4 linked regions of the Styela clava genome follow. The protein of the gene in region 1 purifies or fractionates together with the protein of each later gene. This does not show direct contact. Links are inferred from orthologs where the notes say so. Each region holds a gene or a part of one and is shown on either strand. Other genes may lie near its edges. The genes, in order: anaphase-promoting complex subunit 15-like, cell division cycle protein 27 homolog, anaphase-promoting complex subunit 7-like and anaphase-promoting complex subunit 2-like.

Region 1 (7,459 bases):
AGTTGTTGTTATTCATCCAAGTATCATCTGGCGCTGCATTATCATCCATGTCAATCTGGAAAGATAAAAAAATTATTTACATATATATCACTGTTAATTATACTTAGGGGGAATGAAGTCTAAAAAGTGTTCCAAAAAAATTGCAACAATATATATATCACTGTTAATTATACTTAGGGGGAATGAAGTCTAAAAAGTGTTCCAAAAAATTGCAACAATTCAAAAAAATGCTAACTCAAGATTCCTAAAATTTGATAAAAAATTTGAACTATTGTCAAGTCACAACAATAATTTAGAAAAAGAATGCAAAGGTCTTACATGGTATTCTTGAATCTAATGAAAATTTATTTATGGGCTATTCCAAGTGACACTACAGGACAATTCCAGAAATTTTGCAAGTTGTTAGATGCAATATATTTTTACATTTTCAGCTACATGTTTTGTTACATTGTCCAATCAGTTGCTTTATTGAATATGTAAAAAATTGAACAAAAGTTACACCCAAGACTTACTTAGTAGATAAAAAAAAATATAGTAAAATATAGCGTGACACTACAGGACGGCAAATCCAACATGCACTAACAGTACGTTGTGTTGTGCTGTAAATTTTTGCGATGGTACAGTAGGAGCCCATAATATTTTCTGGTGCAGTAGCTGAACTACCTCTTTATGTGTTGCTCAAGTTACTTAATGTAACACTGTAAATCCATGCCAATAAAGTGCATATTGTATGTGACACAACAGGACGTGACACTACAAGACATTTTTCCACTTCGAAATAGCGACCACTATCATTTCTTAAAATTCTGGTAATAAATCGTTAAATGGGTGAAGAAATGTCCTACAGCACTGCAAACATTTAAACTTTATTAACTTAAATCCAGTGCGTCAATTCCATATGAAATAACTGTACCACACAATCAAACACTTTGTGTCAGGAATCATCACAAAATATGTCAATTATACCAAAATTTCTACATTTCAGGCCATTTTTTATAAACCATCAAAAACCTGAGTGAAATTTTAAATTGTTCGATGAAAAGAATGCAGTCCAATAAAATTCCAATGTCTTTTAATATCAGAAATGAAAAAAAATTACTTTCACTACACTTTTTAAAAAATTGATGGAATTCAACTTTTGCTTGGAATGGCCCTTATGTGGAATAAGAATACCAGGAATACCAGAACTGTGAGGTTGGGTTAAATTCATACTATACTCAAAGACTCCAAACTCTCAACCATTTACGAAATAAGTTTAGTTACCACTCCCGGTTGACAAAACATTTGGCTCAGAGTCAGACCCTTGTTCCTGAATTCTATTCAAAGAGAATTTAAACACCAGACAGACATCAAGAAAATCGAATTTTAGCCACAAAAACTTTTGAGAGTGACAATTGTCTGTTGAAAATGCCCAGTTGACTTTATGATTTTAAAGTTTGTCTAAAGTCCGAAATTCTTCAATGAATTTAAAATACAACTCCAGATCCAACCATGATATGATAAAAACATGCCAATTTTAGACTCCTGACACCACAACTCTGAAAAATTCAATATATTATTCTGATGCTTGTTATCTCATCTGACAGAGCTCTTGACATCAGCCACATGCAGACCCAATCCAAGAAATATTAATACACTGTGTTTTACAACACTACACTACAATACACTAACCTCGGGAATAACTTGTTCATCAGGAGAATCAGGAAGTTCATTTAAATCATCTTCTTCCATTTCCTCATTAGATTCATCAGTGTCATCATCAGAATCGTCTTCACCAGGATTTAAACCACAATACTATAACGCAGAAAGAATAACATTAAATTCGATAATAGACCCAATTTCATTCGTGAGTAAGTAGATGAACCTGGGTTTTTCATGCTGGGTCCTAGGTTCTGATAGGGGGCAAAGGATAGATTCTCTGGAGGCCATGACTAAAGGTCTTTATAAGGTACGATGATTACAATTTGAAACTAATTCAACGTAAATTGACTATAATGAATTTATTCTCCTACTTTTATACTCAATAATAATAAAATAAAATGCCTGATGGGAACCCAGTAAAAGCAAAACTAGGTAATTCAGGTGTTTTTATAGAAAAGCAATAGGCCATGAAGTATTGAAATTCTTTGATAAAATAAAACATGAAATTTTGAGAAGCACTTGTTTCATCTATAACGCAGTCACACCACTAAGAAAGAGCAATGCTTCAACTCACCCTGCCAGCAGCTTCTCCAATGTAAGGTGTGTCACTATCCTTCTTTATGACTGATGTTAGCTGGAAAAATATGGAAATTAAAACTTGCCAAAACAAACAATTGATACTTAAAAAACAACATGGGCAGATTGCAAACTCAAATTTACAACCTTGAATCTTCATGAAACAATATTTTCAAATTTAGAATATTTACATACATTCTATAACAGGGCATGTTTGACTGAGAAAATAGGAGAAATCTATAGATACCTGAAGCACAAAATTTTTTCACATTCTCTGCTTTGAGTTTAAGCAAAGATTTTCATATTTATCTTGAGGAATAGAAAGTCAATAAGATGGTTTAATTGATGGCGAACCACGGTCTCTCATCTGGTTACCAGTCCATGTTGGGTATGGGAATAGGTATTTGTTTCGAATGCATAGACTTGATGGTGGAGGAAGCCATAAATGACCAGCGGTTAGGTTAACCACCCTATGGCAGGCGGCAAGGAGTCGAGAAATTCAGTAGAACACATTAATTGTCCACAAGATTCCAGCCTGCATTTCGCCAACCACATGGCGTGGAATACATTGACAGTGCAATTTTGACATGGTATGCTAAATTTCTACAAACTTGAGATATTTGGCTCTACAGATAGCAAACCTTATGAACAAGCAACCATTTACCCAATTCTCGTATTTCTGTTCTTCAGCTTGTAAATCAGCTTCTTCGTTCCTTGGTTTATCAACAGAAAACCACAAGTCACCAGTTGTTTCAGATTCAAATAATGGAAATCTTGTTGACATTTCAAAACATATCGTAATAATTCGTATTTATTTTGAGATATTCTGTCTATAATACTAAAGATAATGACACACAAATGAAACATATAGTCAACTCATAAAGTAATAATTTTATTTAGTGTTGCCAAAATTCAAAAGTTAAAAAATATGTTTATTTTGGAGTAGTTGATAATTGATGAATGCACCAAAAATTAATAACTTCAGAGCAATTGACAACGCTATACAGCATTATTGTTCTGATTAGAATACACACTGAAAGCATTAGAGATGGATAGTAAATAAATAAACACATTTTGAGAAAAATTTGAACTTGTCAAAAAATGTTCCTTGATGAGTGTAAGTTGGTACACTATACACCACAGTATGCCTAATTAATTTCCAAACATTTTCGAATAATGGAAAATAATTATATTCTATAATAAAAGATAACAGTAATAGAAACCCCAGTCACGAAAAACAATTTTATAGCTGTTCATTTTACTCTTGGCAAATAGGTCGACTGTTGTTTGATATTTGGTAAAGTGTGCTTTGACTGAATAGTGAAAGAGTCCCAAAGATGTAAATAACCATGTAGGAGCATAGATTTATCTTCAAATGGCGTGGGTTCAATTCCAAGCTGCTCTAATCCTGGAAGCCCTGTGCGATTATCTGTGACGTGAATCATGTCAAAATAATCTTTTGTTGCCCAACTTTCCAATGGTGTTCCTAATCTTGATATTACGTCAACAGCTCTTGGAAAAAGAAAACGTGGTTCTTCTTGTTTTTCAAAATATCGTGTCACCAATTTCTGCAATTTTTTTTGGACGAAGTTCGCCTTGCTGCTATCCATAGGTCCCAAGGTATCATATAAATAGCAGGGTTTATCCATGATCTTGTAAATGTATTCAACATAATCTTTAAGTACATATCGACGTGGACCATAAAGCTCAAAGGTTTTCCCAGGTGAATCTAAATGCTTTAGAATCCTGGCCAATCCTTCTCCCAAGTCTCCGCTATAGATTGGTTGAATAATTGTTGATTTTCCGCCATCATAAAGCAAGGGCATCCCACCAAACTTACCCAAATCTTCTTGTCTTTCATGAACAAAAAAATTGGTGTATGTAGAATTATATCCAAAAACATTGGAAGACCTTGCAATTATTGCTTCGGGGTAAATCTCCCTAATTCCCACTTCGGCTGCGTAGTCGAGTTGCAGAAGTTTGGAGGTTTTTCTACCAAACTCGTGATTACAATTAAGTTTGGTGATATGCAAAAGACGAGTGCCATCATTTTTTTCGGCAACAATCTTCGCCAATCGTAACGGCCATTCAAGATTTGCTTTCTCCAATGTACAATTTTGATAAGGCTTGTTACTTCCAATAAGATTTACGACACAATTTGAATGTTGAATCAATTCACGAATTCTGTCATCACTATCTTCCATGCAAAAATCCCTCATTAACAGTTGTCCTAAATCAAACATCGGCCTCAAATGTCTCACATATTGATATGGGGATCGATGTGCTACTACCACACTTGCTCCATGTTTTGCCAATCTGTTGAGGCAAATTCGTCCAACAAATCCGCTTCCTCCGAAAACAGTCGCGACAATACCACTGAATGATGATCTTCCACCGGAACCAGAAGGTATATAAGATTCATGGACATTTCTTTTTTGTATTAAAATAAGAGCAGGAGCTGCGATTCCTTCATTTCTAGCTGACAGAGCACGGCTACCACATCCAGCTAAAGCAAGTCGATTAGCAATCATTGTTATCTTACTCTACATTAAATTTGCAATTTCGTAAAATTAAACCATCTGTAATTGAAAATAATAACATATCAAACTGCAACAAGAGCATTAATATTGTACTAATACTGTAATATAAACACTGAAACATCAGATTGGTTCTAACATGACCTTTTTAAAATCGGTACCTACCAAATGATAGCCAAAACCACACTTCCAAACTTCAGATAGAAGTGAGAATATCTTGAGAAAGCCCCCATGGGTTGCAAGTTGCAAATGATGATCATGTTCAAAAAGATTGCAAGAATTTTAAAATGAGAAAACACCACACCATATGCCATAGACTAGGGGTCGGTTACATTTGTTGCTCCCAGGCCAAAAGTAAGGGTTAAAAATCTTGGCGAACCGCACATATTTTTTCAAGAAAGGTAAAAACCGAACGAGTGGCTGATGAATCACATTTTTTACACAGTTCAGAAGTTGAAATATTAGATTTTAAATAGCGAGCGAACACTGCGCAACTCGTGGACTCAAAGCCGGGTCACTATCTGACTATAGGCAAAAAGTTACAAATGACTTTTAATTTGACACTTGTTGCTGCATTACCGTATGCTTGATAGCTTTTCAACATCCTGACATCAGGCAGTCAGGTGATGCACTGGAAGAAGCCAAGATTAAAACATTTTCTAAATCTGTAAATGGGCATCACTAATTCTAGTTCTCTGATTGTTCTTTGCAATGTCCATTTTCGGAAATAGATTAGTTGTTCGCACGTATAGTCTATGTACTTCCAGTCATCGATGTGAATTTTTTCTCATGGTTAGTATGTTAGTCAAATTCGGATAGAGATTTCCTTCAAGAAATGACTTTTTATAAAAATCAAGCAATGATACATTTCTCGAACCGGTGCGGCAGTACGGTACCGGTATGTTTCTACTAAAATGGATACATCTTCACTGAAATAAACGGGTCCACACTAAAATCGTAAGACTCCAATAGAATGGCTACCGGTTACCTACCTGTGTTTTTTTTTTAAACGCCCACAAATGTGTTAAATGTGACAGAGTTATAATCATAGAAATGAATAATACTGTAATAGGAAAAAATTGTTTGTACCTGTATTTCCACTATGCACCACTAAAATTCTGTAATTGCCTGTCCTGTACGTTCATTCAAAAAATCTGAAATGTAAAATGGGGTCAGCAAATTCACCACTGTGAATTCAGCGGAATTTCAGCGGAAAAATATTCTGCAGTTTTCAACCGGTTCCCATGCGGAAAATAATCTCTTATTACAATATTTATAAGAGATAAATGGATCCTATTTGGAAAAATATGTTCCGAAGGAAACAACTCAGACCGAAATATAAGTTTAAGCACATTTAGCTGGTAGTGGTAATTACAACATACATAACTGTATATCACATAAAACAGAAAAACTAAAACGTATTAGAATATATTTGCAGAATGAAAAATAATATAAAATAAAAATAGGCTACATTTGATGGGAACACAAAAATATCGGAAAATATTTTTTTCAATGTTACATGCAAACTCTAAGGTTCGAGACCAGATGCGAATATGATCCGCAAAGTTCCGACACTTCTTAACAGTAATTTTGAATAGTACCAATAGGGATAAGTATTATATATAAAAGTTGAAGTTAACATAGCGGGACTTTATGATTTATGGGGTTTCAAATACAGGCGAAAAACAATATTTTCTGAAATTTGATGCGTACTCGGTATATCGAGGCCGAATTCGAATATGTTGCTTTATATGCCGACAACTTTTGACAACGATTTCGATCACATGTACAAGTCAAGTGTCTAACACCAAAGTATGATTAACAGCGGAACAAAACTTAACAAAATATGCCCCTTCAAAAATTGACAAAAAATCATAATTTGCTATATTTCGTGCGAACTTAATAATTCGATGCCGAATACGAATATGATCCGCAATATGCCGACAACTTTTAACAGTAATTTTGAATAGTAGCAATAGTGAAAAGTATTATAAATAAAAGTTGAAGGGAACAAAGCGGGACTTTATGATTTATAGGGCTTCAAATACAGGTAGGGCTGGGCATTTTCGAATACCTTGTGATTTCAGAATCGAATCGAATAATTTTTTCGAATCGAATCGAATCTCGAATACTTGAAAATATAAAATTGTAAGCGACTTTATCATAGTAATTGGTCCTCTCAACAAATGAATTACTGAAGACATAAAATAAATCACTCAGATAGATTACTGAGCGTTCACACAGAATAACAAACACGTTTTATCAATAACTCACTACAGAAAATAGTCATATGTTAGAATTTCGTTGAAAAAATATGACTTCAATGAAAAAAAATTGGGGAATTCACCTCGACCATTAGCGGAAAGATAAAAACAAGATGGCGGCGATTCGAAATTCCAGTCTGAACCGATTCGAATAATTTACTATTCGATTCGATTCGAATATTCGATTCGAAATGCCCAGCCCTAAACAGGTCAAACACAAGATTTTCTGAAATTTGATGCGTACTCGATATATCGAGGCCGAATTCGAATATGTTGCTTTATATGCCGACAACTTTTAACAACGATTTCAATCACATGTACAAGTCAAGTGTCTAACACCAAAGTATGATGAACAGCGGAACATAACTTAATAAAATATGGCCCTTCAAAAATTGACGAAAAATCAGATTTTGCTGTATTTCGAGCGAACTCAATGATTCG
Region 2 (7,123 bases), on another chromosome or scaffold:
AAACAATGTTCAGCAAGATCAGGTCGTTCTGTTCGAAGATAAGTTCTTCCGAGTAAACTGAGAGCAAAACATGATGATTCACCAAATTCAGAATGAATATCATTGATAATATTGGTGATATATTGCGATCCATTCAATTGTCTTGGTGAAAAATTAAGTCCGAAAATTTGTTCTACCTTGGCATACCTGAAAAAAATGGTATCAAATTAGTATCAAAACAATAGAAATACAGGTTGCAATCATAATGAGGATGAGGATGCCTCGAGTAACCGACTCAACTAGGGTAATCATTTATTGAAGACTCAAAAGTAACTCGCGTTTTTGAAAAAAATCGTTATCTATGCCATTTAGACTTGACCCAATAATTGACTCAAACTCGACCAAGACTTGGCTCATGGCTTGGGGTAAAGAGACTTCCACCAAATACTGCTACAGTAAAGTGAACTTATATTCTGACTTGCGTCAAGCATTAAATTACCTTCAATAAACTAGATTACAAGAAAATACCTGTGATCAATTATTTATTCAAAGCTCCAACATAAATTCAGAAATCAATAGCAGTTTACCTAAGGTCTAATTCAGGGTGGTCCAAGGTTGTGGGCTCCACAGGCCACAAAATTATTTTGGTATTTGTCGCGGGCCACAATAGTACCAAGAATAGGTAAACAGTGCAATACAAAACAAGCACTTCTATTGTGTAAACACATAGTTGCCAACCTAGGCTAATGGAATCCGCATCCGATTTAGTTTTCTACCAATTAGTTTTCTACCATGCCTATATTGTTAGCATATATTCCCGACCAATACGATTTAGACTGCCCATCACATCTTCAACTTCGCTAGTTGCTTCAGCTAGCCATCATACTAGTGTAACTAGTCAATTCAGTCACAGTAGTGATATAACAACAATATGTTAAACGATTTTTCTGATTTATTTCATGAGAAGCAATTTAAAATACGATATTTTGATTAGGCCTACTCTCCGAATACGGCGCTGGCCACAGATAATGGAGCGTCGGGCCACATGTGGCCCGCGGGCCTGGGTTTGGACCACCCTGGTCTAGTTAATCAAGTGTAAATGACAATCTACCAAGAGTGTTTGTTTAAAAAAATCTTACTCTTCCAATTCCCATGCACATTGTGCATAAAGTAACTTGCATTCAGGCATCGTCATCCCATGTTTATCAAGTAGCATTTGTGTTATTTTAGGTTTTCCTGATCTGTAATAAGCAGTCGCCAACAAGAAGAGCGAATCACTTGATGCAACTGTAATAAAAAAAGTTTATATTAGACAGGATAGGAGGGTGGGTTGAGGTAATAAGATTTATATTTGTATGCTTGTAATATTGTAAGATTTCATAGTTTGCAAAAATGAATCACTTGGGTAAAATGTAGGGACAAACAAAGAACCACTCCAAAAAGTTATGCCATTTATGTCATGTCTTTCCCGAATATGAAATTTGATTTATCTTGGCTCATTAGCCGTTATAATTAACTTTGTTCATGTGAACCGTAATGGACTCAGAATCAGTTTTAATTGTTTCACTACATTAGCTGCTATTTATTCACAGACTGAGAGGTTCAAAAATTTTAAACTCAAATTTCTGTATTAAAAGATTATCCGTAAAACTTCTTATTTATCTGCTTTATGAAAGTGCCAGCTTGAATTGTTTTAAGTCCTATCACAACCACCATTTACTGATATCTCTCTGTTGCAATGATCATAGTAAGTCATGATATTTTTACATTAATATTATGATTTTTACTACTATTAGAATATGATATGACAATTCTGTCGGAAAAAGTTTATTCACAATAAACAAGATAAGAATTGCATATTTGGATTATCAATTCAACTATCTGAATATAGATATCCCAAATTGCTACTAGTTATACTCCAATACAAAACGATATGTATAGTCAAGAACCATGCAGCATACAGTCCACAGGCCACGGACAGCCCATGGAACATATTCACGTAACAGACTTTGTATCCCATTATTTTTGAATGAGTTTCATATTTTGAAACTTGCATCATTCACCTTTTTGACATTGTGTTATGCCACAATTAGATGAAATTTTGTTTTGTCAAGGATTTAATAATATGATATCACTTTATTTTTCTTGTGTTGTGACTGAAGGGATTGTTCGATGGTTTGGCCCACAATGTCATATTTTGAATTTTGCTTGATAAATCAAATTATGAAATTTTCACAATTACTATTTTTCCTACATCAATCTGTTTGATATTTTTTGCAATTTCTTAAATAAAAAATATGAGAAACCTGCCTTCAGCAAATAGTCGTTCTGCCAGAAAGATTGCATCGGCAAAGGCATAATGGTTGAGAGAGTGCCATATTGCAGCCTGAAATTAAGACATGTATAATACTTTATTAATTACAACTTTATGATACCAACTAATCTTAGGCTATATAATCCTTTAATCACTTTTTGACCTGACGACACTGAAGAAATGAATAAAAATCGCTACAAAAAATTAAAAATGTGTCTTCTGAAAGTCAATGTTTGCAGATTATAATTGTAAAAACATTATTGTCCTACAGTCGGACAGTATTAATAGTTGCCTTGAGTATCTCGTTAAAGGCTTAAATATCAAAGAGCGAAAATTATTGGAGAATACAGGAAAAACTGACTGCTTCAACCATTGATTGATTTGCATTACAGCAATAAAACATTCAATTCTGCAATTGGAAGTGTTCTACAGTTCTTTGAGGTAAATGATGGTCAAAATATTCAAATACTAATGTTATAAACTGTATCGATGTGGTTACCTTGATTGGTTCTTGGATGATCGTCATAATCCTGTACCGGTATACACTAAGTTAATCAAATTAATCCAAAAAGTTGTACCGGTACCGGTATTCATTAATCGGGCGTTGGACTCTAACTTGGAGAAACTTTCATCAGATTGCTACAAAGACTGGATATAAACAAATGAATTTATACGGTTCGGTACTTATTAATACAGCAATACAGTATCAGTACGGTCTTACTACTTACTGAATACAGCGCGAAACACCGCAAAGAGCGCAAAACAGTGCGAAACAGCGCAAAACAGCGCGAAACAGCGCAAAACAGAGGGAAACAGCGCAAAACAGTGTGGAAACAGCGCAAAACAGCGCGAAAGTGCGCAAAACAGAGGGAAACAGTGTGAAGCAGAAAAAATTTTTACAATGAGTTCGGGGCACCTTGTTTTGAGTTGGAGTACCACGGCAGCAAATTAAAAACACAAACCAACGTATGTAGCCAGTAATGCTGTAATGACAGGTCTGCCCCTGCTGGTGACACATTTTGGGTACCATAATTTAGAACATTTTCCATATGGATATGGTTGGCTTTAGGGTTAGGGTTAGGTAAAAGGGACCTCCAGAAGTATGTGCACCAAGATGGCGCACAACCTGAAAAGAGTATGTGTGTGTGTAGCGGATTCAGGTTGTGCGACATATTGCTGCACATACTTCTGGAGCACCAAAAAGGTAGATAAAATTTCGCATGGTGACCTATAATCCGGTACATAACCTTGTAAATATGCCGGAAATAGCGCCATAAAACCATGGCGAGAGGCGCCGTGGTTCTTTCGTGGCAGGAGGTGGTAATGACTACGTCTCCTGTTTTGCGCTGTTTCCCTCTGTTTTGCGCTGGTTTCCTTCTGTTTCGCGCTGTTTTCCTCTCTTTTGCGCTGTTTCGCGCTATTTTGCGCTGTTTCGCGCTCTTTTGCGCTGTTTCGCGCTGTTTTGCGCTCTTTGCGGTGTTTCGCGCTGTATTCAGTAAGTAGTAAGACCCGTATCAGTACAAGCAACTAGCAACTACCGGTACGCTCCGACCCCGCGACCTTTCCGACCCGCAACCTTCCCAAGAAAACGCAAAATCTGCCCGTTGAGTCTCGACACTGAAGTAGTTTTTATTGTCTTTCTTGCAATGTGAGCACCCATTATATGCGCGTGTTATCTGCTTAAAAAAAATTATTTCCCCGTGTCACCTATGAAAACTACAAAGTTACTATAAGCTTCAATTTGATTTAAATTTAGAATAGAGTCACGCAATATAAATAGTTTTACTATAATTTTCCACTATAGCAAAAATCTCTCTCTTTAGTATTCCAAAATAAAGTCTTCTTAAAAGGAAAATGTAGGTAACCCAAGTAGCATCGCGCGGATTATGCCGACCACGTTCTTACTGGAATTATTTAAACCAGAGATGTGCAACCTTTAATACAGTGGGCCACCTAATTTAAACATTAACGTATAAACGCAAACCATCAAAATGGAAATATTCATCTCAAATGATTTCATTTTCGAATAAAACCTTGGACCGCAGTCAATTTCCAAATATAGGTATCTCAAGAGTTTTATTTTTATAAATTTATTGAAATCAACATTGATAATTGTCTTTGGTAAAGGATACATGAAAATATTGAGTAAGACATACAAGATATTTGTGCATTCGAAACGGCTTCTCTGATAGGTGATTTCCAATACTATATATATACCAGGGCTTTACGAGAAGCTTTCTAGGGGTACTAGGATGGCAGTTGAGTTTTCATGTGTTGCTATTTCCTTCATATATTCTTTAAACCAGTGGTTCTCAACCTTTATGGCGTACCGATAAAATTGAATAAGATGTACTCGCGGACCGACAAAAAATTGAAATGAGTGGAAGAGAAAATAATAACATATATATATTTGCGCAATATAACGAAATGCTGGGCACCCACTATGCTTCTAGATAAAGAAGGCACACTTGAAAACATTTTACATGTATAAAAACAAATAATGCGTCGGCCAAAAACCGAAATGAGTGAATCAAACTTGGCCCAGAAGAAGACATAGATGCTTTGTTGGTCAGCTGATCTCATATTTATCTTTCTGCAGTTAATCAACGCATCAAACAAAATTTACATTAAGATGAATAGGTCATCGTTAACTTGGCACCAGGTACACAATCCTGCTGTGCATCACATGGAAAAGATCTCTGCGGCCCATGATTTTGTTGTGCGCCTCGTGACCACCTGTGGGGTCGCAACAAGCTCATATTTTACTAGATGTCAAGGCGGACCCCTGGGATATTATACTGTCAACGACTGTTTTCTGCCTTAAACAAAGAAATATTCATAACCTTTTATTTGGATGTTCATATCGAACAGGAAAAGCATGCAGAACAGAAAAAACACGTGTGTCATTCTTTGGGTTTCTGAATCTCGCGAGGTTGAAGGATGCTTTCGCGATGAATCGGAACCGAAAAAGCGAGAAGTGTGATTACTCGGCGCCAATACGTCTTTAATACCGCGAACAGCAATAGGTTGGCGAAAGAGAAATAGCGTAATGAACAAACCCAACGTCGTTATTTCGCGTTCGGTAAAGCGATTTAAGACGGTTGAAAAACACATAAAAATTTCTCGCGGAACGACAAAAAAGCTTCCGGTCCGTGGGCCAGCGGCTGGGAACTACTGCTTTGAAAAACAGTTTATAAATTATTAGTCAATATATTACAATTTACAACTTTGTTTGGTGTCTGATTACTGGGAGTTCGAGTTGATTATTTCACGACTCGGAGGTACTTAACAGGAAAAAGGTTGAGAACCCCTGCTATATACATAACTTTCACAACGACTTTTGAGAATATATTTGACGACTGTCAAAGCTTATTAAACTTCGCGAAGATATGTATTCAACTCTTATTTGCCATTTATGGGACTAAGTATGATACAATTCCTCTTAACAATGAAATTGTTTTTTATATGAAAATGATTGACGGAATCCCGACATCTTTGGATTGCTGGTTGTAATTTGTAATTTGTAAATCGTGGAAAGGATATAGAAATAGAATATTGGGTAAATCAGCTGTTTTTGCTCGATAGTTCGTGTTTTAACTTAAGTCATTCTAATCCTAAAATTAGAAGCAATCTATTAGTCGTAAAATACGTAACAATCAGACGTCCTATATAGGTTACATGACGATATCGCGTCATGCTCTGAGGATACTAAAACCAGCATAAAAGCGAACATTCGTTAGGAGAAAAAAGGATAACTACGGACAAGTAATTAACGAACCTCGGGCCTGCAGTGCAACTTGGTAATTTTGCCTGGCTTATCAGTCATGATTTGGAACTGTCCTTTGTATTTGTAAATTATACAATTGCAATATATGTATTCGGAACCAGGTGTATGTCTTCATCAGATCAGAACAGCAGAATCAGACAGCAAGTATTCATTTATTCCCTAAAAGGATTCTAACTTATTGGAAATTCAGTGAGCAAATTGAAATATTAGTTAATATGTCGATTGCTCATGTTTTATCGTATTTCGATACCTGGTTATTTAATCAGTTGTGGAACAGTGTTTGGGAACTTCAATGAGAATTTGTTTATTGCATGTGGTGAAATATTTGTCTGTTATGATAAACGATCCGTGAATTGAGTTTGCAGTTGCATCCGAAAGACCAGTAACCCAATAAGACTGATTAGGTTACAATTTTTCAGTTTTAGAGAGAATTTTGTAATGAATATTTTTGTCTCTTCCACCATACCTGCTATTCCGGACGTATCCCGTAGTCAGACCTTCCATTACAATTATCGCAGTTTTATATCGTCATTGATTGATTAAATATTTTGATAAACCAACCCTAGAGTCCTTGCAACAACAAAAAACAACAAAACAAAATAGCCGGCTAACTAATCCCATGCATAGACTGGTAACCGTACGAGTGGCTGTGGTGGTACGCTATGTGAGTAAGCCGCCTCCCTCTTACCCGGGATAAAAATGATATCCTACCTCCAATACCGCCTTCCAGTGGCGGCGCGTGGTCATTTTGACAACCGGGGCAAGCTACTGCGGGACCAAGTCACCCCCATCTACGGGGATAGGATGAGCGCTGTAAGTTCTCCCATCATTTTATGAGCACAAAAACCATTCCATCGGTAACAGCCAATCGGCAAAAGCGACAATTTTCAACGATAAGAAAGTGTCTTTAAAACCGGTCCAAGTCAAGGGATTAATAAATATAGACATAGTTTATTTTGAAACCTCTTTCAAAAGGAAAGGCAATATTTACCCAGATAAATACAATGACATATTAACAGAAACTTCGGGAAAGCAGACAAAAC
Region 3 (8,019 bases), on another chromosome or scaffold:
AGAACTAGAAGAAGAAATAGATATCCTTACTGAACGCCAATACGACCAGGAGCGTAGGTCAAGGCTGGATAATTTAGAATTTCACAATATACCCTACTCGCGTGATGAAGATTGTGAAAAATTAATTATGAAGGTAGCAGCACGAATAAATGTACCGCTGCAATCATCTGACATATCAAACTGTCACCGGATGTCAAAAGAAAACAACAAAAAGCCTTCACCAATTATTGTTAAATTTGTACGCAGAAAAACAAGGCATCAAATTCTAAAAAATCGTCGCCAACTGAGATCGGCCAATTTTCATGAAGATTTTCAGCATTTTACAAGATCTACTAGAATATTCATCATAGAAAACCTTAATGACAATAACAAGGACTTATTTTTTAAAGCAAGAGATCTTAAAAAAGAATGTGGATATAAATATCTATGGACACATAATGGAAAAGTTTTAATAAAAAAGAACGAAATGACAACTACCATCCCCATCAATAACGAAGATGACCTTTCTCTCATCAAGTAGGTCTATTGATTATAAATATTCATACATTGTATAGTCAAAATAATTTTATGTATTACTCAAACATATATCAAAAATACCGGCCATTTATTTCCAGCCTGGAGAAAATATCTCTTACATTTCATACATGGCTTTAGCAAACGACCCTCAATTAGCTTATTCCTGTGACATTGAAACGTGCAATAATGTAGGAGTTGTTGATTTAAATTCTTCTCAATCATTGTCTGACTTTTGTATTTTCCATGTGAACATTCGATCCCTGCAAAAAAATATTGATAAATTAACAACCCTATTATCTAATTTCTCATCCCCTCCACAAATAATTGCGATAAGCGAATCAAAGTTATCGTGTAACCCTGTTTCCAACACTAATATTGATGGGTATAGCTTTATACACATGCCATCCATCACAAAAGCAGGTGGTGTTGGTGCTTATATTCGAAACGATCTCATCTATAATGAAATTTCAGATTACAATCTCAATCACTCCAACTGTGATAATATATGGTTTGAAATAAGTTTGGCCAACGCAGTCAATAAGATAATTGTTGGTGTTATATATAGGCATCCTCGTAATAATATTCCAAGCTTTACTAATGCATTTGAAGCATCTCTTGCTAAATTGGCAAAGAAACAGTTTTTGATACTAGGAGATTTTAACATTAACTTACTTACATTGTCAACTAATGCCCAAATTGCAAATTATGCCGATATGTTAATTTCTCACAATGCCAAGTCATTAATCACTAAGCCTACTAGAGTGAGCAGTACATCATCAACACTTATAGATCACATTTATACTAATATTTCAAATTTTAGAATCAAATCTCATGTAGTTCTCTCAGACATAACAGACCATTTTCCTGTTATGTGTTGCCTCAGTGGCATAAAACCAGCCCATACAAATTATGTCAAAATAGCAAGGGACATGTCAAAATTCTCGATCGATTGCTTTCGCACAGATACACAAGTAATTTTTCATAATTATATTGCTAGAAACAATTTGAGTTCCCAAAACTTTGATGGTGTTTTCAGCGAATTTGTAAAATCTTTTGTTCACCTGATTGATCGCCACGCCCCGCTTCGACCACTCTCACGTCGTCAAAAAAGGCTACGATCAAAACCATGGCTAACCAAAGGGCTGCTTGCTTCTATTCGCCACAAAAATAAGATGTTTGAATCCCACTTTTTGAAAGGGAACACTTCCGAACGCTCCTATTTCAAAAAGTATAGAAATGTTTTGATTAGAGCCATAGATGATTCAAAACAAACCTATTATCAAAACCTTATTGCTAAAAACAAAGGTAATCCTAGGTCAACATGGCAAACAGTTAACGAAATCACTCATGTAAAAAATAAATCTAATCAAAAAGTTAACGAGATCGATATTGAAAATGGCTCTATAATTAGGGATGAACTTTTGATTGCTACAGAATTTAATAAGTATTTTTCTACAATTGGGTCTAGCCTTTCAGGCAAGTTTTCCACTGAACAGGATAGCTTTAAACAATTTCTTCACAATTGTATAAACCAGTCCATCTTCATGAGCCCAGCGACTACAAATGAATTGATAATAGAAATACATAATTTGAAAGACAGGAAGGCAGTTGGTCCAGACAACATACCAGCACGTTTCCTTAAATTAGTTGCTGATCTCATTGCACCATGTTTGGCTGAATTCTTCAATTGTTCACTTTTGTTTGGAATCTTCCCTGCATGTCTCAAAATTGCCCGAGTGATCCCTCTTTTCAAATCTGGCATTAAAAAATGTATGTCAAATTACAGACCAATTTCAATTCTTTCATCAATAAGTAAAATATTTGAGCGTTTGATTCATAAGCGACTCAATGCTTTTTTTACGAAACATGATGTAATAAATAAATCACAGTTTGGCTTCCAAAATAATCTATCTACATCACATGCTATCTTAGACACAATATCATATATCTACGATAAACTAGAGAGGAAGGAGTTTGTCAGTGCAACATTCCTAGATCTAAGGAAGGCCTTCGATACCGTAAATCATAACATCCTGATTTACAAGTTGAGACATTTCGGTATCAGGGGTACAGCAAACAAACTCATTTCTAGTTATTTAAGTAATAGATCACAATATGTTCAAGTTGGGTCGTGTCGTTCCTCTCCCTTACCAGTGACTCACGGAGTTCCTCAAGGTAGTTGCTTGGGTCCTCTTCTATTTCTAGTCTATGTAAATGACATAACTTGTTGTTCCTCCTTCTTTACCAAATTGTTTGCTGATGATACCAATCTTCTCGACAGCGACAAATCTTGTGCAGTTCTTCAGTTGAGAGTAAATTCTGAAATTGCGAAAGTATCAAATTGGATGCGGTCTAATAAACTAACACTGAACATTGGCAAATCAAAAACTATGTTAATATCTCCACACCAGTGCAAATCTAAAAATGAAACAGTAATACAAATTGATGACAAAGAACTTGAAAATGTCCATTCTTATAAATATCTTGGCATATATTTAGATAGTAAAATGAATTGGGATGTTCACTTATCCAAATTATCCGTTAAATTATCTAAATCGGTTGGAATACTTTACAAGCTTAGACGATTTACATCACCAACAACACTAAGGATGGTGTACTACTCCTTATTCCAGAGCCATATCCAATACGGCATAATTGCTTGGGGTTCAGCTGTTAAAACATTATTACATCGCATTGAAATTATGCAGAACCGAGCAATCCGTGCAATATCTGCCGCTAGTTATTTTTCACGACTCAGTCCTATTTATTATAACCTTCAAATTATTAAATTGGCAGACATTTACAAAATAGAAGTTTTGAAATTGATGCACCAACACCACTGCAAAAAACTCCCTCCTGCGTTCACAAACTATTTTTCAAAACAAAGCAATGTTCACTCATATGGAACACGGTCCTCTATTAGCAGTTCTTATTATGTAAATCGTTTTAGCACCAAACTCACCCAAAACTCAATCAAGTTTGTTGGTGTTAAATTGTGGAATAATCTCCCCAATAGCATTAGGACCAGTACCTATAACTTGTATAAACATGCACTGAAGAGCCTATACCTAGATGCTTATAAGCCCAGTTGCAATTAGTCTAGAAATATTATATTTGTATACCGGTATGTACTGTACCTATCCCTGTGGTGCTGCTTTTCCCATCCATGTTCGTCAAGTTGTGTGCTCGCTGTGTACTGTTCTTGTTTTAATATTTTCCGCCCAACCTATATGCCACGAATACTGCAGAACCCATAATTATTCTGCACTACTCTAATAGCCACTAACAATCGCTTTCAACATAAAAATCCGTTAAATACGGTATTGATTCTCGCAGCCAGAAGCCCGTTGCTGGGCACGCCATATTGGTTTACTGTGTATGCTTAGTCAGCATTATTTCGCAATTCTTTGTTGTCATTGAGGCATATCCTTCTTACAGATGTCGCTGTTAAGTCATATAATACGATGTGATCATTGTAGTATCTCGGTGTTTATTTCGATTTTATTTTGTTCTTACTCTGTATGATCGAGTTTAATTAGGTAAATATCTAATACTCCATAGTTATTATGACATCCTGTATTTTATTTTTCAAACTTTGTTGTTCCTTTTTGTGATTGAGGCTAATTAAGTGAATGTTTAGGTAACTTTTCGTGGTCATTGTGGCATTCTTTTTGTTGTCCCTTTTATATATATGATTGTGTCGAATTTAGTGACTATTTAATATTGAGTTGTTCGGTTGCTATATTTGCTGCTTCAATGCAGCTACAAGGTGTCGCTGACTGGATGACTCTTTGAGTCTTTCGCGATCCCTCGTCTATTGCAACAAGCCGATATCTGTCTTCGTAATTTGTTATATGTCTTTTTTTATTTTTTCATATCGTATATTGGTTTTGCATGACGAAAATAAAATCTGAATCTGAATCTGAATCATTGGGGTGTCAAAATAGGGCTGGCGAAATGCGGTCGTTGCGTGTTAAATTAGGGGTGACGAAATAGGGCCGTCGAGTCAAGTTAGGGCTGACGATATACGGTCGGTGCGTGGCAATTCAGCATTTATTTTCACATAATTTTTTGGCGTTGTTTATTGAGCACTTACGGCAGTACGACGTATACAGATCCTTGTACCACATGCATTATTCCTACAGTCCTATATAATCCATTCCGTTGCTTGTCCAGTTGGATTGACCAGACACAGTCTAGCAGTCTGACCAAAAGTACAGAAAAATGCATATTTTTGTATTTATGCTAGGGTGACCGATTGCTCCAAATTCTCATTGTTTAAAATGTCTCTTTATGTCTATTTTCTCCAGTCACGTGGGATATCGTACCATTCTATCAGATATATAACGGTATGACTTATGTAAAGGAAATGTGACAAATGACTTTTAAAAACTATGACTGCATGTCTGCATGTGATAGAATTCCTCAATGTGGCAATAAGAAGGTTCAGAATTGAATAGTAAATTGTTCGAATCTATTCAGATGAGAGTTTCGAATAGCCACCATCTTGTTTTGTAGGCTATATATTAAATACTATATTTTTAATTATCGTCTAGCATCCTAGTTGAAAATCATATTGGTAATAAAATGTCGACTACTTCAACACAAAGCCTCATGAGTCATCTGAGTCAACTTCGATCAGAAAAACTCAACGCATCCTTGGAAATATTATGTGGATTTCTTGCGACTGCAATCAAAAACAACAGGTGCGTTTTGAAAACTTTATTTACCCAGTGCAATATCATTTTTATTCTGTGTAACTTTTAAATTTCAAACCCCAAAAATAAAGCTTTTTTTCTGGTTGAAAAAAATATAATGCAACCTAAATTTATTTTCTCGTGTGTAATGGAATTGGTGAAGGCTTCATTTAATTTACCCTATTTTTCTTATTTCAGTGAGACTTATTCACCAGCAAATCAATATGAAATACTTCTGCATCAGGCTGATGTCAATTTCAAGAAAAAACATTTTCGAATAGCAGAGTCAGTTTATCGACAAGCAATAAATGTGAGGAAAAATGGTCTCAAACAGAATCAAAAAAATGTTTCTAGTTTCAATAAATTACCTTCAGAAGTTGATGTGAAATACAAGTAAGTTAGTCTTGTTATGTTTTTAGTGTTTTTAGTTAAGAATTAAAATATTTTAACAAAGTATGGAAATCGTTCGATACTAGGCTAAATTTGAGTGGTAATTATGTTAGGATAGGATAGTAGTATTTACATATTTATCTCGGGGGAGAGGAAAGCTGATAAGACGGCTTATCCATATGGCGAACCACGGCCTCTCGTCCGGTTACCTTTCAAAGTCGGGTATGGGATTAGTTATATTGTTTTGTTTTCGGAGGCATGGACTTGGTGGTGGTGGAAGCCGTAACCGACCAGCGGTTACGTGAACCACCCAACGACGGCGAGGAGTTCAGCAATCCTCTCGCACATAACCATCCCTGCATGGGATTCGAACCTGCGGACCCACGCAGAGTAATTAGAGGTGCGGTGGCGAGCGTATTCCTAACGCTTAGCCCGTTGAGCCACACCGCCGCGCCTATGTTGAAGTTGGATTTACTGAAAACATTATTAGTACTTCTCTCAATGACCCAGCTTCTGTTGATATGATGTTCTGTTGTTATGATTATATGAATTTAGATATTTTAGGATTGAATGACTGGAATTTTGTTTTTCAGAATACATGTTTGTTGTCATAACAATGATGATGATCATAATGCGATTAGTATTTTGGAAAGCATTCCAATCAAGTACAGAACTGTAAAGATAAACTATGCTCTTGCTCAAATTCATCACAAGCTTGGAAGAAAAAGGTATTCATTGTGCAAGTATATTCATTGTGTACAACAGCAGACAAAATATCAACATTCGATATTAAAATAATCTTTGAACAACTTGTATTGCATATCCTTATACACAGAAGGAATAAGGTGCATGAGGATAGATCATTGTATTTTTGGACAATTTCACAAGAAATAATGGTTTTTCTTTGGTAGTAATGAGAATATTCGTATTGGTTAGTGCAAATTGGGCATTCAATGATTTCAATCCCTAATTCAGATTCCATGTCATTATGTACCTTCACTGTTTCACATTACATTACCCTCCATGTTACATCTCAATTCTTTCAGATCGGCGATATTATCATACAAAGATGTCTTAAAGAAGATGCCTCTTGCTCTGGATGTCATATTCAGTCTTCTGTCATTGGGAGAAAGTATAAATGAAATTTTATCTATTGTTTCCAATGCTGCTCAAGGCTTAGATTGGTTTTTACCTCTCATAAAAGCCCATGCATTTTTACACTGTAAGGTATGTTTTGGTGTAATTTACAGACTTCTAAACCTGTAGACGTTTCGGCACGGGGTCAACCATCCGAACCATGAGGTGGCATAAGATGTGGACAAATACATGTGGATTTATATGATATTTGGACATATTCACCAGAGTAACAACTTATACCAGTCAGTAGTGACCTGTCGGCACTGGTACAATCCGGATTCTAACTATGCATAAATGTCCTATAAATCCACATGTATTCGTATATTATTTTTACATTTGACTGAAAATCAAACTCCCTAATTCTAACCGTCCTACTGAAAGTCTGTGATCTGAAAAGTTCATGGGCCTGTATACCTTTTGGCTTACACATTATACTTTGAAGTTGTGCTTGTTAAACAAGACAAGTATAATACTGATTTGGCAAATGACTAATATTTTAAAATTTGTGTTGATTATGGTGTATTATCATATAAAGATGAATTTTTATATGCGAGATCACTTAAAAATCACTAATGTACTAACAGGGAACATGACCCGAGTGGTACCATTTTTTAAAATTTGTGAAATTCATGAGTTTGAAAATTAGATATTTTATACAGCATATTTATATTCCTTTCACTCCGAACAAGGCGTTGTACAAGCAACTACAGGATTTGAACTCGAGATTCTAATCTACGATTCCACCATATTCAAGCTCCATGCTTTATTAATAATAACTCCTGCACCACCGTGCCAACTTTCATAAACTTTCTTTTTATTTACATTTTCATCTGATGAATTTGTTATTAGGCTCGTTTTCCAAACCATTTCTATTTTTAGGAATACTACAATTGTTATTCTCACCTCAACATATTAATGAAAAAAACTGCTATTGCTGGTGATGCACAGGTACACTGTTCTCTTGCAAAGCTGCGTGCTCGCACTGGGAACAACAAATCTGCAATCGTTTATTTTGAAAGTGCAAGAATGAATAATCCGTTTCTACTTGATGGCATGGATATGTAAGTAAATTATGTCTATCGCAAATTATTAATAAGTGGTAATAATCTTGGGTTTTGCTCCTTTTATTTTGAGGTGGTTTTCACACAATCACTCTGAATAGAGAGCACTCAAGAAAAGATAGCTACAAAAATTAGAACTAATTGAATTCATTCTGTTTGGCCATCTACTCAACTTTTTAGGTGAAACAGCTAGGCTTACTTACCTGTGTGAAAAAAAA
Region 4 (7,620 bases), on another chromosome or scaffold:
ACTTTGTTTCGATTTCGCAGTTACTACGATGAATAACCAAAGAAAACCTAACATAACACCAAAATTTGTGATTAACAATGTTTATAAAAGCGTTTTAAGGTCTGCTGAAACCAAACTTATAGTGTGATCTTCCATTTTAAGTTTTAGTTTTAATATATATTTTAGAATGCCGCTTTTCGATCAAGATATTTGAGTTGCGGATTTACCTCTTTATCAATTATTATTTTTAGCATTCCGTCGCCTATCACCATAATATTTTTTTTCACATTGAACACATAATTTCCCACGAGAACAAAAAATCAATTATTGTCGTCATTGTGGAACAATACATGTATATGCCAAAGGAAATTTTCGATTTAGGGAGAATAAACACTGGCGTAAAGATGTTTGAGGTTTAAAAACACGCCATGCTGACGAAAACAAACGGCAATTGTAACAAAATGCAATCGCGCAAGTTATTAGCGGCCCTTTATATCTTCCAAAAATGTCAAAAGGGAAAAGATTCGACCCCTAAATTATTAATATGTTTGCCAAGTGTCAAATTTACAGTTTAAATTAAGTAAAGTACTTTTAACTTATACTCAGGAATATTAATTGGAAAGTAACAATTTAACATTTATTTTGGGGCTCCGTGAATTATAGTCAACCTTTTCAAGGGCTCCGCAACACAAAAAGTTTGAGAACCCCTGAGGTAGGTGACCAAAAAATGATCTACATGAGATTGATGTAACTTTTGGCGCAGCATCAAACCTCAATTTTTTTTTGCGAAATCTAAAAATCAGAATTCTAGGTTTTACTTGTACAACATGTCGCCTCTCATGATTTACCGTATATGATCGCGTATAGGCCGTGTTTAAAACTCAAAAAAAAAGTTGCCAAACCAAGGGACCGTCTTATACACGCAAGACTCAGATTGCACCAAAAAAATCGGCTCATTCACGTATCAGAATTTGATCACGCAACGAGATGATATTATGCTGACTTGCCGGTAATTCCAAAAGCTTCAAACCATACCAAGTTCTCACGATAAAAAGTGTCGCGCACACACACTCGCTTGTGAAAGTGGATTGTCTTATCATACAGCTAATGGCTTGTACAGTCTGTGATTGGTTGTTTAACATGTGACGCTTGTGCAGGCTGTGATTGTTTGTTTTCGCTTGTGTTTCTTTTATATAACAGCAACAGTGTCGATTTACGGTCAGTTGTTTCATGGCGAAAACTTTATTATTTGGTGCACTTTCGCCGTAGAGGCAATTAACGGCGCACAAATTTTAATCACCTTTACGATATGGATATGTTATTCGTTAAAGGGCGGTGATAAGGACTCTTATCGAAATTAACCGCGTTGTGGACGATCAAAGGAAACTGTTTTATGCTGACTCAGGGACTCTCTTAAACTCCCGACAACAATCCCTTCCATTAATACAAATCATGACGCATGAAAAGCAATAAAGTAAGAGTTACGAGTAAGGATCTACGGCCGTCGCTAACAAACAGAAATGATAAACGTTAGAAATATTTGTGTTACAGCAATTTTGTTTTCTTTCTGCGCCTTTCTTAAGGCGTCTGGCATGTTAAGATTCGTAGTGATTTATAAGAATGTGTTAATACAGCGTTATTTCTTTCCTTGAAACGGACAAGGAACGAAATTAATCTTCGTTGTGGCGATCAAAGGAAATTGTTTTATGCTGATTCAGGAACTCTATTTTAAACTCCCGACACAATCACGACACATTGGAAAGCAATATAGACTTTATTAACATAAATTAACAAGTAAGACTTACGGGTAATAATCCACCTACGGCCCTCGCTAACGTGCAGAAACGATAAACGTGAGAAATGTTTGCGTTACAGTAATTTTGTTCTCTATTACGTTTTTCTTGAAGCGTCCGGCGTGTAACAATTCGAAGGACCGGCTTACGTGCGATTTTTTATAAAATCGTTGTCATTAAGGCCGTTTTTAGGGAGTCGGCCTATTCTCGATATTGGCGTAATTTCGGGAAAATACGGTATATGGTTTTCAATTTCCTCTATCTAATGATGGTATTTTGGGTCTCGTGTAGTTTCGTACCTAACGTACTTCTAGTGGGCATTGCATAACAATTTTTTGATATGTCAATCCTAACCCCCATCTGATTACGCCATCCAAAAATTAAATCGCTACGACATCACAATCCAGTCATAGAGCTTGCCAAATATACGCACGATCGACCGTAATGGCATTGGTGCCGACGATAAAGAACTGACTGACGTTATTGGTCTCTCTCCTATTGGAATCGTTGCGACAAGAAAACGAGAGAAATAACTGTTCGATTTCGGGTGCTCGTTTGCGCGTCTTGGATGGCAGTTCGTATAGTTTGAAGGGCTCTATTACGTCACTGTGACGTTGTGATGACGTAATTTTTGGATGGTGTAGTCAGGTGGGGGTTAGGATTGATACGCGAAAAAATTGTCATGCTACGCCCACTAGAAGTATGTTAGGTAAGAAACTACATGAGACCCGGTATTTTGACTAGTAGGAGTGACGCTCTGTGTCCTTGAATGTGTCATTTACCAGCAAAATTTTCCGTTTTTTAATGAAAAATTAATTACAGAATTATGCAACATTCACAAAAAGTTAATATTAGATTTAAACGTAACATAATAATTGATCAATATACGGCGCTTTTTAGTCAAGATAATTTGAAGAACATGGCAGTTTACGGTACGATATGTGTCCGAAGTTAGGCAATTAGACTGGACAATACCGGTAAGTTATCGAACAGTTTTCAGATTTAAAACCAACCGGAAATTTAAAAATGCTTATTTAACTTACATTGAAATTCAAATATCTGACGGCATTTTCGAAGATAAGATCCAAATCCATTCTGACTGTCTGACCATAGGCCTACTTTCAGCGTTTTCTTGAAGATTTGTGTTCCATTTAGGGAATTCCCCCGATGGAATTCGTTCTAGCGAAATCATCCAAGTATAGCGATAACCAAAGTAATGGATGTTTCCCAGAACATCGACTTCTCTGTTTATTGGACACGTTTAGTGGACATAACGATCGTTTTGTTGTTATGTTGTTCTTGGTGTTCTTTGACACTTTTTGGACATCTAGTGAAAATATTAAAAAACCGCTTTTCTCTTCGATCACTGGACCAATTGCTTTGAAATTTTCAGTGGTTAAAGATGAAATTTTCCTCCAGAAGGCCCTAATTGTGTGACAGGAGTCGCGAGTGACCTCGAAAGCAGCGACACCAAAAAGCTGATTCACATAGAACACCAAGCTCATCCATCTCATTAGAAAACACTATAAAATATTATCTGTCTTCTTATTTGGTCTGTAATATATTCGTTTCAGACTTTCAATTTTTTTTGCAGTGCCGGGGGGGGGGGGGGATGAAGTTGTATAAACTACTGTAGGGGAGCGATGGTACAAAAAGTTTGGGAACCACTGGACTAGGCAACGTATGGTGAGTTACTGTAAAAGTTAAAGTATTGTAAAAAAAAAATTGATACTACAGTTGTGAGTCTATTCATTTGGCATTTCGCTATCAAACAAGTTACGTTGAGCTAGTAGGACTACTGACTTCGCAAATTCAAAACTGAAGATGTTCTTACCGTAGGTCGTTCCGCTTGGTGTGTTAAAGGCCTTGTTTCCATGAATAAAAATAGAAGAGCGAAATTCTGGATGAAATTTATTAAAGGAATACTCTTCAAATCGACAACAACAATCTCAAACTACTGTAGGACAACGATTAGAAGAAAAGTACAACAACAACAATTTATTTAAAATGAACCATAGCCATATGGCCATTTCGTGTCCAACAAAAGCCAATTCTTGAGCTAGGGCGGAAAACATGTCATCAATCTTGTGGCATGCGTGACACCTTCAAGGGCAAAGTTTTCTTTTTTGCATGGGCCGCATTCAGAAAATCTCAGAAAAAGGACCGCATTGACAATTAATTAACTGTGACGTCATAGTTACTATTCTCATTCGCTATGGTAGTGTCGAATTTAATGGCGGCTGAACCGGTGATAACAAAAATATTGAATACCATTTAGCAATTCATATAGTTGAGGGTTGCCATACCGTCCGGAAAATGGGTTAAATTTTGCATCCGGGAAGAATTTAAAAAAATGCTCAAATGTCCTGAATCCGCATCTGCAATCGTACTGTGCACACTGCTTATACAGAACATTGTTATTTCGTACCGTGCGGATATTTCTTACTACGGGGTCATGAAAATAGTCATGCACTGTAGGGAATTTTGCTTTTTCAAATATGGTGACCCTGAATTATAGTTACTATAGACAGACATCAGATTGAGTAGAGTCTGCGTATTCTGTCTTCTTGTAATATTAAAACGTATATTACCGGAATGTCTATAGCTAGCTGAACTCCGTCTTAGGTCAATGTGATGCAGCCGAAATATTAACTAACAAAGAAGCGGCGGTGTGGCTCATCATGCTGAGCGTTAAGAATACGCTTTCCACCACACCTCTGATTACTCTGCGTGCGTTCGCAGGTTCGAATCCCATGCAGGGATGGCTATTTGCGAGAGGATTGGACTCGTGGACTCCTCGCCGCCGTACGGTGGTTCACGTAACCGTTGGTTACGGCTTCCTCTATCATTAAGTTCAGGCTGACGAAAACTAACTAATCCGATATATATCCGACATGGAATGGTAACCGGACAAGAGGCCGTGGTTCGCCATATGGTTAATCCGTCTTACGGGCTTTCCTCTCCCCCGGGATAAATAGGATCCTACCCCATATAATAGAAAGTTAAACGACTCTAGATCACCAATCACCTTGGCATTGACACATAAGAAACGTTGCATGAAATCTTGTCGTGAGTAAATCACCAAAAGTATATTAATGTATAGGTTGGTATGGGATTTTATAATAAGAAGAAAGAGATAAAGTCATCGAGTGTCTAGGAAAATTTGTATGCGTTTTTTTTCTTCTTATAAATATATTTTTTATACTGGTCTGATGATTCAAAATTATATGAACAACATTGTTATGTATACCTTTTTTTTTAAATTATAAATGCACAATAATTAAAATGTCATAATTTTTCGCCTGGTCATTTAGATCGATAAAAATAGCTTTCTCTTCAATAAACTGATTATTTAGTAAAAAAGGGAATTGGTTGAATAAGCGCGAATATCAAATCAGATATTCGGGTCCAATTGTAACAAATTTTTTTGTTCGCTATGTGTTATTCTAGGTTTCCGCTTTTCGTTTCTTACATATACAATAAAATTATTTATTTGTTTAGCGACTGCTTAAACTGCGACTTTGGGACTTGAGTTGTGTGGTGACTAGTTTCATTTCCGCGAGGACCTTCTTTTCAATTCGTTTCGTGTCAATTCGTTTTCATTGAATGTTGATAGGTCAGTGTATAACAAACTGGCAATTTATGTACATAAAAAGTAGGGGAGATATCAGGGGTGGGCAATTACTTTCCTGAGTGGACCAGTTACAGATAATGAACTTGGATACTGGGCCGGAGGCTCCATATGAAACTATGAATAAAAAAAAAACAGTTCATTTACAAATAACTAGCGTAACAGCTAATGTAATAACGAACAGCTAGTTTATCGAGTGGCACAATTGCTTAATAGGACTGATGTAGAGTCCTGCATTCGTCCGAACGCTTGTTTATATCAGGCTCGAATTAGCTTGTGCTAATTTCCCAGACCGCTTGTATATGTGGCTCGTTTTACACATTATATTCAAAGCGTGGGTAATTACGGCATTTATTTTGGCCGACGATTTATTATTTTTCTCGATATTTTCAACAGAAATTTTAATCTATAAAAACTATAGTCGTAATTTCAGAAGACACGAGTGAACCAGATGAAACACTTTGGCCAGCGGCCCGTAATTTGCCCACCCCTGGGTTATAGTTAGCACCACGTATTTAGATAATTTGAAGAAAAATGATGGTATATGTACAGACACTACTGCTGCTGTCACATCATGTTGAACTAAAACATGCAACCCTTCGGATATCCACGATGGTCCATCTCTCTTGAAATCTGACACAGGACGCATTGAGTGCAGCAAAAAGTCACGCAACAATCATCACAAAGTCCACCCTTAAAACAGATATTGAAAAATGTTAATAAATAGAGATCTGTAGTCGGTATAATCCAATTTTTTGTGCGTGTGAAATGAGATTTGAGAGATATATCAACTTTTAGTTCGCCATATGGAAAGACATTCTAGTTAATTGTTCCCAAATTTCATTCACTTCATTATTTACTCCAAAATGAAATTATTATAGTTTAGGGGTGTGCAACCTTTGATACAGGCGGGCCAGATATGAAATACTGGATGAAACCGCGGGCCGCGTCTTGATTTGACATAAGCTTTCTAGTAGTAACGTCATGGGCATAGATAATAAATTGTACTACTTATTGGTAGGTATAGGTTTGCAACGCAAAGTGATTACTCGCCATATTAAATTAAACCCCTGGATTAGACTATTAGAGCATTATTATATGCTGGTCATATAATGTCCCTATGTTCTAATAAATGCGGTTTAATGATAAAGGTACTAATGTATTAAATTTTGTCAGTTTCATTCATTAAGTACATCATAGGTAGGTCTTTGCAATTATATATAGTCAGGGCTGCCATAACGTTCTTATTTCTAAGATTTGTCCTTATTTTGAAGGTCTTTGTCCCAGAAAATATTTCTGTGCTTATTTCCAAGAAACGTCCTCATTTGACATGTGTCCTTATTTTTTTATTTTAGGGGTAGAAGTTTTTATACCGGGCATTTAGTTTGGTCATTTCGAATGACTGATTTGCTAGAAATAATATTAGAACCTATTGATTGCTTCGCGCATTTATGACATGAGAGCAAATTAATTTTCATTAAGCGACTGAACAAATTAATTTCTGACGTTCTGAGCGACTGTCTTTTCCCCGAGCATTTCCACACGCGTTAAATTTGAACTTTCTAGCTATTCAATAATCAGTGCTTTAGACAAAACACGACTATACCGGTAAATTATATTTTAAATTTAGTTTAGATTTGGAACATCATAAAAGATAAAATGGTAAACGTAAAAACATTGTTTATTACATTTCGTTCTTTGTTATCTTATTATTATGTTTTCCTGATGTTCTCATTTTTGGGTTCATATATCGATGGCAGCCCTGTATATAGTGCAACTTAACATCAACACAATACTATCAGGGGTAACCAATCATCGTATAATTATATATAGATCTTGCATTGTCGTGAAAGGTTGCAATGAGATACTTCTCTTGTCAAAACAAACATCTTTGCCTCACAGTAAAGGTCGTTAAGACGCACTAGCTGTACTAAATTTGCTCGTACCAGTTAAAAGACTGGTTATGGCACTCAACAATTTTATATAGTGTGCGATAGAAATCTACATGTCAGATAATTTACTGTAAGATCTAAAACAGTAGCATTTAACATTGCAAACATTTCTAAAGTCAATTGAATAACAACTTACAACAATATTGTGTCTGGCTCTGAGATACGGACGGGCAACTGTTACGAAATGGTGAGGACAACACCAACCATACGCACATGAATCTCCAAACCTTGTAGCGAGGTTACAGAAGAAGCACGGAAAACAGAA

What was found.
Region 2: the proteins of anaphase-promoting complex subunit 15-like (region 1) and cell division cycle protein 27 homolog purify together in Homo sapiens (affinity purification with mass spectrometry; 3 studies listed by BioGRID and IntAct, with this or other methods). This does not show direct contact. The link is inferred for Styela clava from reciprocal best matches to the Homo sapiens genes ANAPC15 and CDC27.
Region 3: the proteins of anaphase-promoting complex subunit 15-like (region 1) and anaphase-promoting complex subunit 7-like purify together in Homo sapiens (affinity purification with mass spectrometry; 3 studies listed by BioGRID and IntAct, with this or other methods). This does not show direct contact. The link is inferred for Styela clava from reciprocal best matches to the Homo sapiens genes ANAPC15 and ANAPC7.
Region 4: the proteins of anaphase-promoting complex subunit 15-like (region 1) and anaphase-promoting complex subunit 2-like purify together in Homo sapiens (affinity purification with mass spectrometry; 4 studies listed by BioGRID and IntAct, with this or other methods). This does not show direct contact. The link is inferred for Styela clava from reciprocal best matches to the Homo sapiens genes ANAPC15 and ANAPC2.

Annotation. Positions count from the first base shown.
Region 1 is NC_135263.1:6,344,576-6,352,034, forward strand, and holds the start of anaphase-promoting complex subunit 15-like, read right to left. Parts: upstream 3,018-7,459; 5' UTR 3,002-3,017; coding exon 2,882-3,001; intron 2,276-2,881; coding exon 2,216-2,275; intron 1,795-2,215; coding exon 1,672-1,794; intron 56-1,671; coding exon 1-55. Other genes in the region: NADH dehydrogenase [ubiquinone] 1 alpha subcomplex subunit 9, mitochondrial-like, read right to left, coding at 3,471-4,748. UniProt on the Homo sapiens protein: Component of the anaphase promoting complex/cyclosome (APC/C), a cell cycle-regulated E3 ubiquitin ligase that controls progression through mitosis and the G1 phase of the cell cycle.
Region 2 is NC_135260.1:19,715,382-19,722,504, forward strand, and holds the start of cell division cycle protein 27 homolog, read right to left. Parts: upstream 3,024-7,123; 5' UTR 2,820-3,023; coding exon 2,793-2,819; intron 2,366-2,792; coding exon 2,290-2,365; intron 1,267-2,289; coding exon 1,119-1,266; intron 187-1,118; coding exon 1-186. UniProt on the Homo sapiens protein: Component of the anaphase promoting complex/cyclosome (APC/C), a cell cycle-regulated E3 ubiquitin ligase that controls progression through mitosis and the G1 phase of the cell cycle.
Region 3 is NC_135257.1:7,648,315-7,656,333, forward strand, and holds the start of anaphase-promoting complex subunit 7-like, read left to right. Parts: upstream 1-5,005; 5' UTR 5,006-5,103; coding exon 5,104-5,222; intron 5,223-5,411; coding exon 5,412-5,606; intron 5,607-6,196; coding exon 6,197-6,331; intron 6,332-6,649; coding exon 6,650-6,830; intron 6,831-7,619; coding exon 7,620-7,801; intron 7,802-8,019. UniProt on the Homo sapiens protein: Component of the anaphase promoting complex/cyclosome (APC/C), a cell cycle-regulated E3 ubiquitin ligase that controls progression through mitosis and the G1 phase of the cell cycle.
Region 4 is NC_135254.1:19,227,771-19,235,390, forward strand, and holds the start of anaphase-promoting complex subunit 2-like, read right to left. Parts: upstream 3,006-7,620; 5' UTR 2,867-3,005; coding exon 2,816-2,866; intron 1-2,815. Other genes in the region: placenta-specific gene 8 protein-like, read right to left, coding at 5,986-6,096, 7,492-7,620. UniProt on the Homo sapiens protein: Together with the RING-H2 protein ANAPC11, constitutes the catalytic component of the anaphase promoting complex/cyclosome (APC/C), a cell cycle-regulated E3 ubiquitin ligase that controls progression through mitosis and the G1 phase of the cell cycle.